Linked DNA regions of Callithrix jacchus. The protein of the gene in region 1 interacts with the protein of each later gene in a biochemical or structural test. Links are inferred from orthologs where the notes say so. Each region holds a gene or a part of one and is shown on either strand. Other genes may lie near its edges. The genes, in order: MAP1LC3A, ATG7, MAVS and PHB2.

Region 1 (5,024 bases):
GGTTAGTCTTTCTCTAGCATACCTTTTTCCATCTTAACTTTTTAATTTTTAATTTAATTTTTGAGACCGAGTCTTGCTCTGTTGCTCAGGCTGCAATGCAGTGACACAATCGTGGCTCACTGCAGCCTCCACCTCCGGGGTTCAAGCGATTCTTTTGCCTCAGCCTCCTGAGTAGCCGGGATTATAGGTGTGCACCACCATGCCTGTCTAATTTTTGTATTTTTAGTAGAGACGAGGTTTCACCATGTTGGTCAGGCTAGTCTCCAACTCCTGACCTAGTGATCAGCCTGCCTCGACCTCCCAAAGAGCTGGGCTTACAGGCGTGAGCCGCTGTACCCAGCTGCCATCTTTTTACTTTTGGTGCCCTTAGGTTTTAAATGTCCTCTTGTAAACAGCATAGAGCTGCATTTTATTTTTTCTTGGCCGATCTGGTAATCTGTGTTTTGAGAAATGAAGGTAAACCACATTTTCTGCCTCGGGTTTTGTACCATTTATTTACCATCCCTTTTACTTTGCTTTACTTTGCTATTAGTTTTAATACCCATCACCACCCTTTTCTCGGCATTGGCAGTTACAGTTCCGTTTCTACTCTTTTGATGATCCCTCTTAAATATCTGAAATACTCACCTAACTTTACAAAGCCTAACAATGCTCAGTCTCTTTACCCTTCCGAGAACACCTTAACTCTGCCCTCTCAGTCTTCCAAGTTCTTGCGTCTCATACATCTTGTTTCTGTAGCCCGCAAATTAATCATTATTCATGTTGCATATTACATGCTTGTTTAGATTTACTCACGTTTACCAATTTGCTCACCATTTTTCCATCTAATTTCTTCCTTTTCGGTTCCATGTGCTTGTTACTGAAGTACATTCTTTAAAAATTATTTCAGCTGCCGCACTCAGTGGCTCACGCCTGTAATCCAGCACTTTGGGAGGCGGAGACGGATGGATCACGAGGTCAGGAGATCAAAACTATCCTGGGCAACGTGGTGAAACCCCGTCTCTACTAAAAATACAAAATTAGCTGGGTGTGGTGTCACGTACCTGTAGTCCTAGCTACTCAGGAGGCTGAGGCAGGAGAAATCGCTTGAACCCGGGAAGTGGAGGTTGCAGTGAGCTGAGATTGCGCCAGTGCACTCCAGCCTGGGCGACAGAACGACTCAGTCCCACCCCCCAAAAATAATTTCAGCAACAGTCTTTCGTGTAAGCTCTTTGTCACCACCTATCTTTACTTCTTAACTCTTAAATCATGGATCAACACCTCGTTGACAGCATTTTTCCTGTCAACGAGGTGTAAAGCGTTACATTTTACTGTAGCCTTCTACGTTTGCTGCTGAGAAGTTTGTTATTGGTGTAATTTTTAAAATCCATCATCCTTGGTCGCTTTTAAAATCGCATAGTCTTTGGAGTTCTGCAGATTCACTAGCGTCCAGATGTTCATCTCCGGTGTTTGCATTCCACCCGATTTTAAGAATCACTTCTGGCAGCTCTCCTTCAGGAACTGCCTCTGCAGGGAGCTCTGCCCCGGCCTGTGAGATCTCCCGGCATTGCCATCCGTGGCTTTTTCCTTTTTATTCTCCATCACCTGTCTCTCTGGTGAGCTGCTTCCGATCAGCCTCCAGGTCCGCGCACTCTTTTCTGCTGTCCTACACCTCATCCTCCGAGACCTGAATTTCCATGGCTCTACTTGTCAATTCTAGAATTCCTTTGCAAACCTGGGCCTTCTTTTGTGATGTCTTGCTTGATCCTGTGCCTCCTGCACCTTCTCCCGTCTCTCGTCCTGAGCCCCTAGAAGGCGCCGGCTGTTTCCCACGGTGCCCAGAATCGCGCCAGGCCTGGCACAGACTCGGTGAGGGCGCGGGGAGCGGTGCCGCGGGGCTGCAGCCTGGCCCGCCCATTCCCTCAGCCCTTGGCAGCCCCGCCGCCCTCCAGGCCTCACCTGAGTTCCGCGCCGGGAGAGACTCCTGGGCCGGCCATGACGTCACAGGACTGTGACGCGCCCAGGAGCCCCGCCCCTCGCGTCCCGAGCCGGGGACCCAGGGGCTCTGCGCCGTGACGTCATGAGCCCGGGCGGGCAGGTTGTGCGTCGGCCCAATGGGAGCAGTGCGCCGGCCTCCCCTTTAAGGAATGTTGTGACCTGACGTCACCGGGCGAGTTACCTCCCGCAGCCGCCGCCGCCGCGCTCAGCGCGAGCCCCGGAGCCCTTCAGCGTGAGGCACGGAGCCCCCGGAGCCCCCAAACCGCAGCCACATCCCCACGTCCCAGAGCCCCGGCCTGCGCGCCCAACCGGGCCCGCGCGATGCCCTCAGACCGGCCTTTCAAGCAGCGGCGGAGCTTCGGTGAGGCCCCGCGGGCAAGCTGTGAGCTCGGAGCAGGGGTACGCGGGGGCCCGGCCGACCCCGACTACCGCGGGTGACGTCAGTCCTGTGACGTCAGGCCCCAGCCGGACCCTCGGGATGGGAGGCTGACTCCAGCCTGGGCGGAGGCCGCCCACCTCCCCACCATGATAGGTGCTAGGGGCTGTGGGGCCTGCCGGCCCCGGGGGCGGGGGCTGGAGCTGGGGCGGGGCCGGGGGCCGCCCCTTGGGGACAGGCGGGGCGGAGACACGGGGAGGACCTGGGCCCGGCTCAGCCCGGCCTCAAGGTCCGGCCGCCATCCGCAGCCGACCGCTGTAAGGAGGTACAGCAGATCCGCGACCAGCACCCCAGCAAGATCCCGGTGAGTCCGGTGCCCCCAGCCCTGCCCCGCCCTGGCCGCGCCTCGCGCGCCCCCGACACGAACCCCTGCCCGCCTGCCCCGCTCCCAGGTGATCATCGAGCGCTACAAGGGTGAGAAGCAGCTGCCCGTCCTGGACAAGACCAAGTTCCTGGTCCCGGACCATGTCAACATGAGCGAGTTGGTCAAGATCATCCGGTGCGTGGGCAGCCGCCGCCAGGAGGCAGCTTGGGTCTGGCGGGGAGCCGGGTTCCCGCCGAGAGGAGGTGGGAGTGGGGTCAGTAGTGATGGGACCAGGCGGTGGGCCCCTGTTCTGGCGCGGCTGGAAAGGTCAAGGTCGGGGCTGCAGTTGGAGTCGGGTCAGAGGTGAGAGCTGGGGTGAGGATGGATGTGAAAGGCTGGGAATCATTCTGGGGGTCAGGGCTGTGCCTGCCCTGCAGCCACGTCCCTCACAGCCGCACACCCTCCCGCCTGCCTCAGGCGCCGCCTGCAGCTGAACCCCACTCAGGCCTTCTTCCTGCTGGTGAGCCAGCACAGCATGGTGAGCGTGTCCACGCCCATCGCGGACATCTACGAGCAGGAGAAAGACGAGGACGGCTTCCTCTACATGGTCTACGCCTCCCAGGAAACCTTCGGCTTCTGAGCCAGCAGTAGGGGGGTCGGCCTGGGAGTGGGGGGAAGCCCGGTCAGGCCCTGCCCAGAGAACCCCTGGTTCCTGAACTGAGCTGCCTCTGCTTGGGGGTGGGCTGGGCAGGGATGTGGCCCCGTAGTCAGAGGGCACCAACCCACCTCCTCTGCCCCTAAGTGGTTTTGTTAGGGTTGCCCCTCTGGGTGCTGGCTGGGATGGGGGAAGGTGGGAAGCATCCCCCCACACTCCTGCTGTGTGGTTCATCTTTTTTTTTAGGCCCCTGCCTGCCCCTCACCCACCCGAGGCTCTGCCCACTACCTGGACCTGCCCACCCCTGAAAGACTGGCCCCCCCACCCCTCCATCTCCACATGGTGTATGGATCTGTGGTCATTGTCCCTCTGCAGAATAAAGATTGCTCAGGCCTGCCTGGCCCTATGCCTCCAGCTGCTTGCTTGGGAGTGGGGAGGGTGCTGGTGGGGCTGTCCGAACCGTCCCTGGGCTCTGACATACCAGAAACACACACCTGTGTGTACTTTCCAGAACATTAGGGGCCACCCCCAGGAGTGCAATGCAGATATGGGCCCAGGGTAGGTTTCGTAACAAAAAACATTTATTAAGTAGCCACAACCTAACAAGCCCTGCTCACCTGCCTTTTCCAGAGCTCCCAGTTCCTCCCCAGAGGTCTTGCAGTCAGCCATGGGTCCCTTTTGATACCAGAGACTTGTGACCCTGGACTTGAACCTCTTCTGCCCAAGGACTCGCCTGCTGGCAACTCTGGCTGGAGGGCCTGGCCCAGTTTCCCGCCCCTGAGGTCCATGCAGCCCTGTGCCAGCCAGGCCTACTTGAGCACAAGCATGGCCTCCGTGCCGTCCTTGGCCGTCAAATAGAGGCCGTGTGTGAGGTAGTACTCCCGCCGCAGGAAGGCATAGAAGTAATCAGAGATGAGCAGGATCTGGGGGGAGAGAGAGAGGATGTGAGGTGCTGCAGGGTACCACCCCGTGAACCCAGGACCCCTGAGAGGCTAGCAGGTGATGGGAGACAGAGCCCCTGCCTGGCCCTGAATCAACAATCACTGGAGAGGCCCTGCGCAGGGCCCCACCTTAGGGCCCGTACTTGACACTGCAAGGTCTGTTGGCCTCTCAGAAGCTGTCCAGACTCCCCGTGCCCCCACCCATGGTCTACACCTCCATCCTAAGCTCTGGCCTCGAATGCCAGCCTGGTGCCTGTGCAACCAGAGGCCTGTGCCCCCTCCTCTGACAGGCACTTCCACCCCAGCCAGGTCCACATCAAACTCACCTTCCCCCTGTCAAACCCACTTCTCCCACTGGGCATCCATGCCCCCATCTTCCATCCAGGTGCCCAGGCCACAAAATTGCCTGAGACGTCTCTCATACAACAAGCCACCATGACCTAAACTCAAATCTACCCTTTCGATACATCCCCACAGTCACTACTCTAGACAGCCACTGTCATCTAAATAGCAAAGCTTGGTCCCTGGGCTCCCTGCTCTCAAACTCACACCCACCCCATTCTCCCTGGCAGCCAGAGGGAGCTTTTCAAAACCCACATCTGGTCTTGTTACTTCCAGCCTTCAAATCCTCCAAAGGCTTCCCATGCCTTAGGGCAAAGCTCAAACTCCCTGGCGCTCTGAGACCTTGCCCAGGTCCCTGCCCACCCTCTT
Region 2 (5,016 bases), on another chromosome or scaffold:
ACAAATTAGATTGGGGGATATCAACCAAAAATTGGAGCTTAGCTGCCTCATATAATGGAACTGCATCATGTGCTCCTTTAAGTGACTCAATTCAATTCTACTGTGCTTGGTTGTTAAGTGACAGAGACACAGACGGAACCATGATTTGAATAGTACAAGTGATTCTGCCCTGCCATTTTAACTGAGATAACACCTCAGAGTGACCGTGAGATGGGAGCAATAATTTACTCTCCCTGCAGCCCTCAGCTTCTATGTGTCTCTCACAACATGGGCAACGCCTCTCTCTCAGTGTGATTCTAGGGTTTACTACAAGTATTTTTTTTCTACAGCATGGCTCTAAACACAAGCCTTTGCTGGTTCAAGCAAACAGATTCTAACCATCCAACTCTGGGTAAATTAAGGGGTTGTCAGGGATATTTTTGACTATGAAAATTTTACCATATAAGCAGATGGGACTTTACTGCAAGGGACCACTAATCATACTTTGTTGGCAACAACTAAATAAAAAAACCAGCTGTATATTATAACACCATGACAGAGATCATCAAGCCATCCTTCTTCATATAAGAGAATGGTCATCTTCTTTTCTTTATATTGGGAGGACATAAAAGCCAGTTATCCAAAAGAGGTATGAGCTATTAAGGAAAATGTTTTAAAACAAAGGTAAAATAGAGGGGAGTTTACAGAAAACATCTCTGCATTGCTTTCCTGGAATTATTATCGGTTCTGATAAAGGAATAGCCCTACAGACTGACTTGTATGAAGACCTGAAAGCCATAGACTCTTAATTTGTACGGTGTGGTCTTGCTGTTCAAAGCATTGATGCACTTGACCCACTTTGCACTGTGAGTTGACAGGGAAAGTATTCTCCCTTGCCTTATTAGCATTGCCAGGGAAAATACAAGACACTTAGCTAAACCTGAATTTCAGATAAATAAATTTTTAGTATAAATGGGTCTTGAATATTATATGGGACATATACTAAAAAATTATTCATTACTAACTGAAATTCAAAATTAGCTGGGAATCCTATACTTTTACTTACTAAATCTGACAAGCCTCCACACCACTCCTATTTTGCAGAGGCAGAGGGAACCTAAGAGACTTTTTGGAATTACCTAGGAGGCAGTGTCAAGCCATTGATGGAATCTGGTCTTTAGACTCCTCATTTCTAATACTGTCTTGACTAAGAGAAACACAGGAGACAATACTGAGTGCTATCAGGGACTAGTCGGCTGTGGTTTCCTCAATAAGCTTTCCAAAAATATGGTTTGTAGCTGCCTTTGTATTGGTGAACAAGGAACAGCTGTACAGTTGATGACACTAGTCAAGGTTCATAGTGAGAGAATACCATCCTCCCCAAATTGGAGAATTCTTCTCTTTGTTAAAAGATAATTTTTAAATAGTCATAAGTGAAAGGGCTGTGTCTGTCTGCCCAGTGCACAAGTTGGTCATAGGAAATATTTGAAACTATAGAGAAATCCACTTACATCTCCTGGGGCCACCACATCATTGCAGAAGTAACAGCCAAGCTTGTAACCAGGGATGTTCGCAAAAAGTGATGAGCCCAGGAGGTCAGCAGATGCCACAGGGTGGTTTGGACACAAGTCCCCAGCTCCTTGCTGCTTTGGTTTCTTCAGGCCATGTCTCATGACAACAAATGTGTCAAATCCCAAAGCAGCATTGATGACCAGCTACAGGTTTCAAGGAATAAAAGAGCAGAGTTAAAAAACACATATAGCCACAAACTGTGGCTAATCCCATATTTGCTCAACTTTTTAAAATTTATTTTTTGCATGTAAGTGTAATTAGATTCTAAAAGCTAATGATGATAAAAGCTACCCACTACTGAGGGCTTATTAAGTACAAAAGACTTGATAAGTGATAAACATAAATTATCTCATTTAATTTCATTTGAAACTCCTAACAGACCTGGCATGGTGGCTCATACCTGTAATTAATCCCAGCACTTTGGGAGGCCGAGGCAGGCAGACTGTCTGAGCTCAGGGGTTCAAGACCAGCCTGGCAACATGATGAAACACTGTCTCTACTAAAAATACAAAAAATTAGCTGAGCAGTAGTCCCAGCTACTCAGGAGGCAGGGGCACGAGAAACGCTTGAACCCGGGAGGTGGAGGTTGTAGTGGGCCGAGATTATGCCACTGCACTCCAGCCTGGGCAACAAAGCAAGATTCTATCAACGACAACAAAAAAAACCTCATAACAAACATTTCTCATTTACAGATGAGGATACTGAAAGTCAGAGAAGTTAGTTCTATAACTTGCCCAAGGTCACTTAACTGGCAAGAGGTAGGTATGTAAAACCAAGTCTACATAGTTCTCAAACCCATTCTTTCCACCATTATGCTATACTGTCATGTCCACACAGATTTTTTTTTTTTTTTTTGAGATGGAGTTTCGCTCTTGTTGCCCAGACTAAAGTGCAATGGCACAGTCTTGGCTCACTGCAACCTCTGCCTCCCAGGTTCAAGTGAGTCTCCTGCCTCAGCCTCCCAAGTAGCTGGGATGACAAGCACCCACTACTACACCTGGCTAATTTTTATACTTTTAGTAGAGACGGGGTTTTGCTATGTTGGCCAGGCTTATCTTGAATTCCTGACCTCAAGTGATCACCCAGCCTCGGCCTCCCAAAGTGCTGGGATTACAGGTATGAGCCACCGTGCCTGGCTTAGATCTGTTTTTATAACAGCTTTACTGAGATATAATTCACATACCATATAATCCACCCTTCACATAGACTTTTTTTTTTTTTTTTTGAGACAGAGTCTCGCTCTGCCGCCCAGGTTGGAGTGCAGTGGCACAATATCGGCTCACTGAAACCTCTGCCTCCTCAGTTCAAGTGATTCTCCTGCCTCAGCTTCCTGAGTAGCTGGGTGTGTGCCACCAAACCCAGCTAATTTTTCTATTCTTAGTAGAGACGGGGTTTCACCATGTTGGCCAGGATGGTCTTGATCTCTTGACCTTGTGATCTGCCCACCTCAGCCTCCCAAAGTGCTGGGATTACAGGCATGAGCCACTGCACCTGGCCCAATTTTTTTTTTTTTTTTTGGTATCCCAGTAGCTGGACTTACAGGCACATGCCACCATGCCTGGCTCCGTGTAGTTTTCTTTTTTGTTTCTTTTTTTGAGACAGGATCTCCCTCTGTTGCACAGACTGGACTGCAATGGGCATGATCTCAGTTCACTGCAGCCTCTACCTCCCAGGCTCAAGTGATCTTCCTAACTCAGCCTCCCAAGTACCTAGGAGCACAGGTGTGTACTAACACACCTTGCTAATTTTTTGTCTTTTTTTGTGGAGACAGTCTCACCATGTTGCCCAGTCTAGTCTCAAACTCCTGGGTCAAGCAATCTTCCCAAAGTGCTAGGATTACAGATGTGAGCCACCATGTCCAGCCCAACACATGGATTTTTTTAGAAACTATTTTTAAATTATATTCTAACAACTTTTCATAGTTCTAATTTAACTTATTATCCCAAATTTCTGATTATATAGAAACTTTGAAAAATAAAGAATAACCACACTACAAAAGAAAACAAAAATCACTCACAACCCACAGCTCAAAAAATTACTATTAATAATTTGGGGTATTTCTTCCTACTATTTTCTCCCTTTCCCTCCCATTCTTTCTCTTTCTCTTTTCTTCTTGCCCTCTTCCTCTCTTCTCTCTCAGTAGACAGATAGGAAGACATATATAAATGTTTATATATAAACATAATTAGTACAAAATATATATCATATTGTATCTTCTTTAATATAATGTGACATTTTCCATCTTATTAAAATCCTTTGAAAACATAACTGTGAATAGCTGCATACTATTCCATTATAGGTATGCACCATGATTTAGTTCACTATTGAATACTGTTGGCCCTTTTAGTTGTCATTGACCAAGTAGTAGTGAATAAGACAAAGTCTCTGACCTCTTGGAGCTTACATTTTAATGTAAATACAGTATACCTTTCAGTGTAGAGTATCTTAGAAGATTATTATGAAAATTAAGCAGTAAATGATACCTATTACATTGGGTGATGGTGTGCAAGGCAAAGACAGTCTGAAGCAGAAGCCCTTTGGCACTGTGCTACCAGGTCACAAGCCACATCTCTGCCCTGGGGAAGGGAAGGTTAGGGACACTCCTTCCTCTGGGGTGGTGGTGTATTAAATCGTAATCGGAGACAGTACCTACCTTTCTCTTGCTTGCAGCAATGACGGCAGGAAGCCACCGGCTCTCCCTGGTGTCCATCAACAGAAAAATAACATCATGGTTTTCGATGAGCTGCTCCAGTTGCTCCACATCCTTGCGGGCTTGCTCCAGAGTGACACTGGAGAAGTTCACTGGATGCCCAGGCATGGGGATGCTCATGTTGAATCCCCTGGCATTCTATGGAAACACCAGGATGTAGTTATCTCTGGAGCAATGGTATAGGCACTATCTCAGAGCCCACACTTTCCACAGCTGCCTGCACATACTTGTGGTCGCTTACATGAGATCTCCCTGTGCACTATTATGCTGTACCCTTCCCATGTCTCTCTTCTTTACCTCTGCATCCTAGAACACCTTGATTTATAACCCCAGGGCTCTGAGGCAGGGCAGGGCAGGGCAGGCAGCGCGGGGCAGCAAGCAGAGACATACGGATCTCAGTCCCAAAGTAGAGAGGGCACATTCTACCTGAGGTAAGGAAAACACTGGAGAAAACTGTGTATCTTTGGCTCTTTCCAGCCATCCAAGGCCAAGAAACTTTATCAGAGCACCTTCTGGCTATTCAAGTACCTCTTTTTTTTTTTTTTTTAAAGACAAGGTCTTGCTCTGTCACCTAGGCTAGATGGCAATGGCACAATCACAGCTCACTGTAGCCTTGACCTCTTGGGCTCAAGGGGTCCTCCCACCTCTGCTTCCCAAGTAGCCGGGACTACAGGCACACGTCACCACACCTGGCTGATTTTTTTTATTTTTAATAGAAATAAGGCCTCACTATGTTGCTTAGGCTAGTCTTGAAC
Region 3 (5,016 bases), about 6.6 Mb from region 1:
GACCTCAGGTGATCCACCTGCCTCAGCCTCCCAAAGTGCTGGGGTTTCAGGTCTGAGCCACCACACCCAACCCCTGGTCACATTTATAACTGTGGGAAATCCATGTTTTCTTTTCTTTCTCTCTCTCTCTCTTTATTTTCTCCATTTTAGAGACAGAGTCTTGCTCTGTCAAGCTGGAGAGCAGTGGTGCAATCATAGGTCACTTCCACCTTGACTTCCTGGGCTCAAGCAATCCTTCCACCTCAGCCTCCAGAGTAGCTGGGACTACAGGCATGTGCCACCACACTTGGCTAATTTTCAGAATTTTTTTGTAGAGATGAGGTCTCACTATGTTGCCCAGGCTGCTCTTGAACTCCTGGGCTCAAGAGGTTGGCCTCCAGGAGTGCTGGGATCATAGGTGTGAGCCACCGTGTCTGGCTCTCATGTTTGCTTTTCTTTCCTTTTTCTCCTCCTTGCTTCCCCCCTCTTTCTTCTTCCCTTCCTCTCTTTCTTCCTTCCTTTTCCCTCCTTCTTTTTAACTATGTCTCTTGATGTATGGAGATTATTAATAGTGATCCCCTGACTACAATGGCTGTGGAAGGGCCTGATGGGTGGTGGAGGCAAAGGGGAGGGGCTGAGGCGGCAGCATCAGGGCAGGGGTCAGTGAGCAATGACAGCCATGTGGAGGAGAAAGCCACTGGGTCCCAGGATGTCTGGGGACAGAGGAGGGTGACTGCTGACATGGTCTGGGTGGTGAGAGACCCATGATGCCCCCCCCGCACACTCCCCCTGCTCCCTTGCTCCCTTGTCCTCCAACTGCTCTCTCCTTCCCACTCCTGCCCCCTTGCCAGTGATGCTTGTTACTCTGAGGAGTGGACCCACATCAGAACAGCTTTTGGACCTATGGGTGGGACAGGGGGGTGTACCCAAGAGCACCCAAGCCTCTTCCATCATGAGGAATACCTCTGATTCCTTCTTTTCTTTTTTTTTTTTTTGAGACGGAGTCTCAGTCAGTCACCTAGGGTAGAGTGCAGTGGTGTGACTTTGGCTCACCGCAGCCTCTGCCTCCCAGGTTCAAGTGGTTGTCCTGCCTCAGCCTCCCTGTAGTTCCTGATTCCTTCTTTCCACCCTGCCTCCGCAGAGCAAGATGGAATCTTGTTCTGTTGCCCAGGCTGGAGTACAGTGGTGCAATCTCAGCTCACTGCAGCCTCCGCCTCCCAGCTTCAAGCAATTCTGCCTCAGCCTCCCAAGTAGGTGGATTACAGGCACGCACCACCATGCCCCACTAATTTTTGTATTTTTAGTAGAGATGGGGTTTTACCATGTTGACCAGGCTGGTCTCAAACTCCTGACTTCCCAATCTACCCACCTTGGCCTCCCAAAGTGCTGGAATTATAGGCATAAGCCACAGCACCCAGCCCCTGATTCCTTCTTGATATCACTGCATCTTTGTCCTCCAGGGACCCCGGAACATCCTCCAGCCCCACTGGAGCCACCGTCAGTTTCTGCTGAGGTACCAGGACCCTCCACGCCTGCTGCAGCCCACAGCATCCCCTACAATGGCTATAGAGAGAAGGAGCCAAGCTACCCCATGCCTGTCCAGGAGTCCCAGCCGCCAGAGTCCCTGGAAGAGGTCTGTCCTCACAGTCCACCTTGAGCCACCTGCTTTTGCATTCCTGTCTGCCCACTTCTGCCCATGAGCCTTCCTCCAGAAACCCCCTCCTGTCCACTATAAATTATGCCTAATCTCTGCTCAGAAACCCAAGGCTTCCTTAGTGGAGTTCTGCCCCAGACCAGCTTCCAGACTGCTGACCAGGTTTTCACCCTGTGGCAGTCTAATCCTCTGTCACCAACCAGCTGGGAGATGACAGGTTTTTTTGTTTTTTTTTGTTTTGAGACAGTGTCTCATTCTGTCACCCAGGCTGGAGTGCAGTGGAGCGATCTTGACTCACTGCAAACTCCGCTTCCTGGGTTCAAGTGATTCTGCTGCCTCAGCCTCCTGAGTAGCTGGGATTACAGGCACCCACCATGATGCTGTCTAATTTTTGTATTTTTAGTAGAGATGGTGTTTTGCCATGTCAGCCAGGCTGATCTCAAACTCCTGGCCTCAGGTGATCTGCCCACCTTGGCCTCCCAAAGTGCTGGGATTACCAGTGTGAGCCACCGCCCCTGGCTGGAGACCACCACAGTTTTGAGGTCTTTGCAATGTTCCATATGAGATGTTGCATTGGGTGGAGGAACCCAGGGAGGGGCCAGATGAGGGAGAGTGAGGGAGCAGGCAATTATGGGAGCAGGGGTGATTGGCGGGACTGTCATTATTGCCAAAAGGTCAAGTTTGGGGGAAAGATGACCGATTCTATGAAGATAAATGAGTGGGCAGTGGGGTGTCCAGGAGACACCAAACCATGAACCTGAAGCCTAAGAAAGGGATCTGTGATCCCCTGAACACAGTGGCTGTGGTAGGGATAGGATGAATGGAGGTGGGAAAGGGGAGGGACAGAGAAGGCAGCATCAGGGCAGGGATCAGCTAGCGGTGACAGCCATGAGGAGAAAACCAGTGGCTGCCGAGAGGGAGATCTTTCTTCAGGGCCACACAGTTAGACAGGGAGTCGCCCAGGGATGCTGTGTGTTTTCTGTGAGGTAAATGCAAGGACACCTGTGGACAGAGGGTCTGGCAATTACCAGAACCCAAGCAATGGCTCCCTGGCTCCTGTGCTTCATGGTGTGGGCTGAGGTCTGTAGGAGACGTCCCAAAAGCACAAGCTGCCCTTTGCGAGCTCTTGGGAGAGGTAACTGCCTTATTCATATTTTCCCTCTTGCAGAGTTCAGAGCAAGCCCCGCAGATGCTCAGTCCCGGAGCCATCCCAAGGAGGCTGGGTGGTGGCCCTGTGGAGCCCTCCGCTGACCTGGCAGCCCTTAGCCCTGTGACCTCCAGTGGGCATCAGGAGCAGGACACAGAACTGGGCAGTACCCACACAGCAGGTATGCATGGAATCTGGAATTATAGGGCCCGTCCGATCTCTCAAGTGAAGGCGAGAATTAGAGATGCCCCTCTGGCTTCCTTGAATAGGAGGCAAGGTGGGAATAAAGGGAGTTCAATGCAGGAAGCAAACCAGTTCCTTATAGGGTGTATCAGTTAGCATTTGCTGTGTAACAAATAGTCCACTCCAGTTTTCCAATTTTTGTTTTTTTTATTAGCTTAAAATGCAGCCATTTATTTAGCACATGATCCTGTGGGTCAGCTATTTGGGCTACCTATCTGGGAAGTTCTTCTGGTCTTGGCTGAAATTCTTCTCAAGTACTCACTGGTATATATATAAGTTCTGCCTCTGGCTATTGGCTGAACACCTTGGTTCTCTTCTTTGTAGTCTCTTGTCCTCCAGCACACAAATCCATCATGGCTGCTGGGCGGAGTTCTGAGACAGACAAGAGAGGGCTCAAAACTAGCACAATGTCCCTGTGCCCCATTCTGTGGGCAAAAACAAGTTATAAGGCCAGCCTAGATTCAAGGAATAGGGAAATAGACTCCCTCTCTAGACAGGAGGACTGACTGGGACAGCGCAGAGGGGCTGGGTGGAGGTGGGCGAGATAAGTAGGGCCGTTTTTGCACTCTGTCAAAGAGACTGTAGGGAGCAACCAGGGCCTGGAGGGCGGTGGGAGAGGGACAGTGCAGGCCTGCACCAGCTATTGGCAGGGAGGCCTTTAGGCACTGCCTTACCACAAAGAGATCGCAATTCCCAGTGAATCCCAAAAACTTCTCAGTCCCCAGAGGAAGTAAGGTCATCATCCAGGGGCCTGGACCCCACTCCAGACCTCAGTGCTCCCCTCAGAAATATATAGTTGTCCGCCTGGACCTCTCAGGCTAGCATGTCTCTCTCCTGCTTTCCAAACTGTTTCACATGACGCTGGTGCCCCGTCAGCCCTCAGTGCCCTGGGACAGCCACAAGGCACATGAGCAGTTAAAGGCTAGGAGACATCATCTCAGTACTTTTGTCATCCCCAAACTGCTCCAGGCACCTGTCTCTGCTTTGCAGTGTCACCTGGCCATGGGATGCCTTTTGGGAGTTGCTGTAGACTATGGAGACAGAAGGTGATTAGGTTTCAGTAGGTCTGTAGACACAGGTCCCGTGAGATTCTATGGTGTGAGATTGTGGTGGTTGGGGTGTACATCGGAATCACCTTGACCTGTGCCAGCTGTGGGGCCTGGCATGTGCATTCCAAGTTCCATGGAGAATCCTGCTGCAACCCTTTATAGACCATCACCACCTGCTACACCCTGCTTCCCCAACACGGGTCAGGCAGCCTCCCAGGGGTGGCTTTGTCCATGTCCCCGCTCTTCCCAAGCCTCTGGGATGGCCGGGCCTCTCGGCTGGTCTGAGCTGTTCTGCCTAAGCCATCCTGCCACCCCTCACCCTGTTTCAGGGCTGTTCCCACTCGTGGTGCTGGAGGAGGGACAGCAGTGGGGGAAGTATCCAGGATTCCATGAGGCTAAGGTCAAGGGGAGGCTTCCCAGGTGGGAGAGGAAAAAGCAGAGAGAATAATAAATAATGATCTTCAAGCTCCAAGGTACCATTTCACTGTGTGTCAGGGTAGACCTGGGGGTACAGATCAAGGACTGAGGGCAGCTGTTGGGCTTTCAGGCTGGGAAGCAGTGACCAAAGGGACTGTGGCATCTCCTCCAAGGGCAACAGATTTGGAGGCCTAAATGCAGTAGGAACCATGAGACCTGGAGCAGAGGGACCCTTCTCCAGGCCTGAAGGTAACAGTCTTTGAGTCTGTGTTTCCACTTGTGTTTTACCACCTGCAGGTGCAACCTCCAGCCTCACACCATCCCGTGGGCCTGTGTCTCCATCTGTCTCCTTCCAGCCCCTGGCCCGATCCACACCCAGGGCAAGCCGCTTGCCTGGACCTGCAGGGTCAGTTTCTACTGGTACCTTCTCCTCCTCATCCCCTGGATTGGCCTCTGCAGGGGTTGAAGAGGGTGACCAGCCCGAGCCTGTCATCTGCTCCAGTGGGGCAGAGGCACCTGCCAACTCT
Region 4 (5,016 bases), on another chromosome or scaffold:
TCCCCACTTCCCACGCCCCTCAGAAGCCCTAGTCTTGAGCTGAGAGTGCGGCACCAGGGGTGGCTCTCGTTGGCTGGCTGCCACTCAGGGACACAATGGGCCCCGGCCCCTCCTCCCACCCAGTGCGGTTTGTCACCTAGTGGATCCAGAACCCACAGTCGACCTTGAGCTTGGGATCGGCTCGCCCCGTCAGGAGACCTCACCTGGCCTGTGGCCAGGGTCCCTGTAGCAGCTGGAGCGTTCTCGCCGTAGCTCTCCATTGGCCCGCCCTGGGTCCATCTTCCAGTACAGTGTTGGATGGTCTAATTGTGAAGCTCCTAACACTGTCTGGTAAAGATGGCCCCCGGGTCGGTTCTTTCGGCTGTAACTTTCAGGGAGCCCTGAAGACCATGGAGGCCTACTGACCAACGACCTCTGATCTTTACCCCTCCGGATGGGGGACGGATCACTAGGCAAAGGGGAACAATGGGAAGGAGACAAAATGGCTGCCTCTACAGCTGCAGCAAGATTTGGAAACACTGGTTCCCCAGGCACCTCCATTGTCTTCCCCTTGGAAACATGAAATAAATAAAGTGTGACTAGGAACATGAGGAAGATTGATCCAGGTCACTTGACCTGTCTTTTGTCCCACTGTTGATCTCATCTTAGCTGCACGGTAACTCGGGATTGGGGCTGCGGTATCTGCTTCGTCTTTCATGATACTCAACCCTAAGCAGAGAAAAACATCCTAAAAATCGAAGCAGATTAACTCAGTCCCTCTGTTCAGATCCACTGCTGCCCTATCTGCATTTGGTAGTTCCTGCACATACTTTATCCCCAGGTTTCGCCTTAGAGTTCTAAACTTTCCTTGTCTCCCTGTAGGGATGGGAAATGGGCCGTAGTGGGAGATTCAGGTATAAACGGTGACTTGGTTTCTCTGTTGCTTGAGATTCAGGAAGGGCTGTCTTGGGAAGAAGTGTCAGCTTATCTGTGGACTCAACAGGCACCTGTTCTGTTGGCCCCAGAGCTGAGGGAGTGACAAGCCCACCTTCACAGAGAGCCCTGCTAGTGAGTAGCTCCTCACGCCTGGTGACTGAGAAATGGAATCTGGTGGCCCACATCAGGCCATGGGATCCACTGGGCTTCTAGGCACAGAAGCCCCTCCACAGGCACAGGCAGGCTCCCCAGAACCACATGGAACTCTGCTACCAAGAAAGCAGCTCCTGTTGGGGTCATCAGATTTTTAATCTGGCTCAGCAAAGCCACAGCTGCTCCAGCTCTAAAAAAAAAGGGTGATGTGGGAGAAATGGAGGGTGGGGTGAAGAGTGCAGCTGGGCCTCTAGACCCCAGGGCCAGCCTTTCCAGCTTAGGTCGTTTTGGAGCCCAGGCCCTGCTTCCCCTTAGCTGCCCCAGTCAGAGTCTTTTGCGCCCTCTGCTGGCAGACACAAAGACGGCCCCAGGAGTGCCTATGTGACTGCGCATGCGTGCTGCTCATGACCATGTGAAGCACTGACTTCAGCTTAGGTAATAAAAATTTATTGAGAATTCCTGGGTTGGTGGTTATCTCCTCCCAGCCTTGAGGGAGGGAACAACACTGTAGGAAATCACTGAGAAATCACACACTGTCCCAACATCCCCGGCCGACACAGGGAGGAGGAAAGTAATTCCCCAGAAAAGGGGCTGGTCTTCAGTCTTCCTTAATCCAAGAGGGGTTCGGGGAACGGGTACAGGGGACCATCGCATGATACTGGGGTGGGGGTAGGGCTGTGCTGGACCCCAGGCTGGCTCCTCAAAAACAGGAGAAGCAGATCCACTTCCTCTGGGGATGGAGTTCTCGGTGACTAGGCTCACTTCTTACCCTTGATGAGGCTGTCACTGTAGGAAAGACAGATGATGACATTATTAGGGGACATAAATGTGACAGGCAAGACACTAGGCCATTCCCTCAACGACCCTCCTGCCCCATTGAGGGTTTGTCTGTGGGGAGGTAGGAAAAGGCAGTGGGGTAGAAGGCAGGTATTGGGAGAAGGTGGCCTGCAGGACCCCACAGGAACAAGGATGCAGCAACAACTTACCTTCCTCTGTGGTGCCAGATCACCAGATGAACAGGAAACAGAGAAGAGAAATGCACATGTTAACTGACAGCTTCAGGCCCCACTCAGCTTTGAACCCTCCTTTGCTCCCAGGACAACAGAGGAACAGGGCCGGCAGCCAGGAATCTCAGGCCCATGAGAGGAGGCGGCGTTTCTCATGGCCACTGCTATCTCTGGTCTCCTTCCCTAGCATCCTTCCATGCACCTGAGCAGTTCTAGGGCTCCTGAGTAAGGAAACTGAGTACCATCTTTCATCACTTCGCGGTTAGATAAAGACTTTACAATTAAAGTGCTTTTTATGTGAATAATCCTATTGATCTCATAAAATCAATCCTATGAGATGCAGGATAAAAACTGCCAACCACTCCCTTTTCTAATTTTGGTTCAGTGTCTCTCTGAGCCATATGAACAGCTGTAGCAGGCTCCAGAGCCCAAGCAACCAGACTCAAGTCCCACGTTCTTGTGATGCCCCACTGTGTGGTCACATCTCTCACCGAGTGAAACTTTCATCCTGTAGGTTCAGCACAAGGTTGTCAGCAGTGAGATAGATGCGATTCTGTGATGTGGCGATCTACAGGGGAGGAAATAAGACAGATGCTTACATTGAGCAAAGACCTCAATTCCAACCCCTGCAATTCAGTAGCCACTTAATGGAACACAGCAATGAATAAGATGTGGTTTCTGCTCTTATTCAGGGATCCAGAGCAGTGAGCAGCAGCTATGATTATTGGCACCATAAAGAGGCAAGAACAAAAGGTTAGGGAACCCAGAGGAATAATTTTTTTTTTTTTTTTTTGAGATGGAGTTTCGCTCTTGTTACCCAGGCTGGAGTGCAATGGCGCTATCTCGGCTCACCGCAACCTCTGTCTCCTGGGCTCAAGCAATTCTCCTGCCTCAGCCTCCCGAGTAGCTGGGACTATAGGCGTGTGCCATCATGCCAAGCTAATTTTTGTATTTTTAGTAGAGACGGGGTTTCACCACATTGACCAGGATGGTCTCGATCTCTTGACCTCGTGATCCACCCGTCTCGGCCTCCCAAAGTGCTGAGATTACAGGCGTGAGCCACCATGCCCGGCCCCAGAGGAATCATTCTTGATGAGGGGAAAAGATGCAGAGAAGCCAATTTTTTTTTTTTTTTTTTTTTTTTTTTTGAGACAGTCTTGCTCTGTTGCCAAGGCCGGAGTATAGTGGCACCATCTCAGCTCACTATAACCTCTGCCTCCCAGGTTCAAGTGATTCTCTTGCCACAGCCTCCTGAGTAGCTAACTGGGATTACAGCTGCATGCCACCATGCCTGGCTCTTTTTTTTTTGTACTTTTAGTAGAAATGAGGTTTCACCATGTTGGCCAGAGTGGTCTTGCACTCCTGACCTCAGGTGATCTGCCGGCCTTGGCTTCCCAAAGCGCTGGGATTACAGACATGAGCCACTGCACCCGGCTAGAGAAGCCAATCTGAGTAGAAACCCGAACAAGCAAGATTCGAATTCCCTCACTTCAGTGTGCTGAAAGCACTTTCTCACAAGACAGCCACATCAGAGATGCCAGGCTGACACGCTCACCGTCTTGGAGATATTCTGGGCTGCCCGGATCTTGCGAAGTTTGATGTAGCCAGGGTTCTTGCTCAGAGCTTCTCCAAGGTGAGTAGAGTTAAGGTTCACACAAGGGCAGGCCTCAATCCCTGGCCCCATCCTTACCACACTCCCTTGCTGCAGTCCTCCTCTGGGCTGTCAGATCCAAGGTTGCGCTCAGGTGACTTGGCCCAGCCCTACCTTGGACCCCACCTGTGGGCCTCCCTGTAGGCTGCTGCCAGGAACTGAGGGCAGCAGCAGAAATGAAGGCGAGGCCAGCAATGCTATTGATCTGGCCTTACAGTGGGGAGTCAGGCCTTGGCTACCCCCACCAAGATTTCAGATCTCATCTGTAGTCCCCACCCCCAAGGAGCCAAGGGCCGGAGGGCACGGAGTCGCATTCGCCTTAGTCTCATCAGCCTGCCCATTAAGGAGGATGGGGAACACAGGTGCCCTATGGGTTGGGCTGAGATCTCTCCAGCAGAAAGATATCATCTTGGCAGCCTCGGCCTCACCCTCGGCCTGCACGATCTTCTGCCGCTGTTCCTGCTTTGCTTTTTCTACCAAGAACTGGGCCCGCTGGGCCTCCTGTTGGGCTGTGGTGGGAGAGAGTCAGGTAGACCCGGTCCTGGGTCAGGAGCCCCTTCATGGAGTCTTTCCTCCTCCTGCACCTCGGAAGCCCTCGCCCCACTGCTCTTGCGACTCACCCACTTGTTTGGCTTCTACAGCAGCTGTGTACTCTCGGCTAAAGCTCAGCTCTGTGATGGCTACATCATCCAGGATGAGGCTGAAGTCCTTGGCCCTCTCTGTCAGTTCCCGGCGGATCAACAGGGATACCTGGGTGGGGGGTGAGGAGGGAAAGGGCAGGGTGGTTTGAGGGGACTGGAGAACTGAAAGGAAAGTTGTGTTGTGTGACCATCTTAACAACAGATCTCCTGAGAATGGCAGAAAAATCATCAACCCTTCCTCAGTGCCTCACCACAATATCTGAGTTGGAAGGGACTTGATTCAATCTTTTCATGTGACAGATGAGACACCTTAGAGAGATGACAGGACCGCTCCAGCTCACAGTGACCCCTAATCCTTCACTCTCCCCAATACAATACGAATTGCATTAGCTTCCTGTTGGGCAAACCTGTAACATATGCCTATCTGCTGAAAGAGGTGCAGGAAAAGCCAAGACTGGGACATTTCCCTCCATGCTTCCTAACGCCAAGTGCTATCGAGTTCTAACACTGGCTCTCCTTATTTCACAGGGGCAATTAGCACAGCTTTTAGGTGGAAATGGCAGTAGGGTGACAATCCTTTTCTAATAAGCTGCCTTTCCTAGTTCCCAATACCCCGGACCTAGGAGGGAAAGGCTGACACCATGCAGAC

What was found.
Region 2: the proteins of MAP1LC3A (region 1) and ATG7 form a complex in vitro, tested with the Homo sapiens proteins (2 studies listed by BioGRID, with this or other methods). The link is inferred for Callithrix jacchus from reciprocal best matches to the Homo sapiens genes MAP1LC3A and ATG7.
Region 3: the proteins of MAP1LC3A (region 1) and MAVS form a complex in vitro, tested with the Homo sapiens proteins (2 studies listed by BioGRID and IntAct, with this or other methods). The link is inferred for Callithrix jacchus from reciprocal best matches to the Homo sapiens genes MAP1LC3A and MAVS.
Region 4: the proteins of MAP1LC3A (region 1) and PHB2 form a complex in vitro, tested with the Homo sapiens proteins (2 studies listed by BioGRID). The link is inferred for Callithrix jacchus from reciprocal best matches to the Homo sapiens genes MAP1LC3A and PHB2.

What each region holds. Positions count from the first base shown.
Region 1 is NC_133506.1:4,744,065-4,749,088, reverse strand, and holds MAP1LC3A (microtubule-associated protein 1 light chain 3 alpha), read left to right. Parts: upstream 1-2,151; 5' UTR 2,152-2,298; coding exon 2,299-2,338; intron 2,339-2,433; exon of another isoform or gene 2,434-2,502; coding exon of another isoform or gene 2,503-2,509; intron 2,510-2,661; coding exon 2,662-2,717; intron 2,718-2,805; coding exon 2,806-2,912; intron 2,913-3,194; coding exon 3,195-3,357; 3' UTR 3,358-3,774; downstream 3,775-5,024. Other genes in the region: GPI-anchor transamidase component PIGU, read right to left, coding at 4,182-4,295. UniProt on the Homo sapiens protein: Ubiquitin-like modifier involved in formation of autophagosomal vacuoles (autophagosomes). While LC3s are involved in elongation of the phagophore membrane, the GABARAP/GATE-16 subfamily is essential for a later stage in autophagosome maturation.
Region 2 is NC_133516.1:68,590,604-68,595,619, reverse strand, and holds part of ATG7 (ubiquitin-like modifier-activating enzyme ATG7), read right to left. Parts: intron 4,400-5,016; coding exon 4,205-4,399; intron 1,695-4,204; coding exon 1,491-1,694; intron 1-1,490. UniProt on the Homo sapiens protein: E1-like activating enzyme involved in the 2 ubiquitin-like systems required for cytoplasm to vacuole transport (Cvt) and autophagy.
Region 3 is NC_133506.1:11,379,532-11,384,547, forward strand, and holds part of MAVS (mitochondrial antiviral-signaling protein), read left to right. Parts: intron 1-1,439; coding exon 1,440-1,612; intron 1,613-2,801; coding exon 2,802-2,961; intron 2,962-4,786; coding exon 4,787-5,016.
Region 4 is NC_133510.1:21,231,784-21,236,799, forward strand, and holds part of PHB2 (prohibitin-2), read right to left. Parts: intron 4,477-5,016; coding exon 4,347-4,476; intron 4,236-4,346; coding exon 4,132-4,235; intron 4,063-4,131; exon of another isoform or gene 3,797-4,062; intron 3,709-3,796; coding exon 3,631-3,708; intron 2,644-3,630; coding exon 2,567-2,643; intron 2,310-2,566; exon of another isoform or gene 2,055-2,309; intron 1,855-2,054; coding exon of another isoform or gene 1,827-1,854; exon of another isoform or gene 1,500-1,826; intron 1-1,499.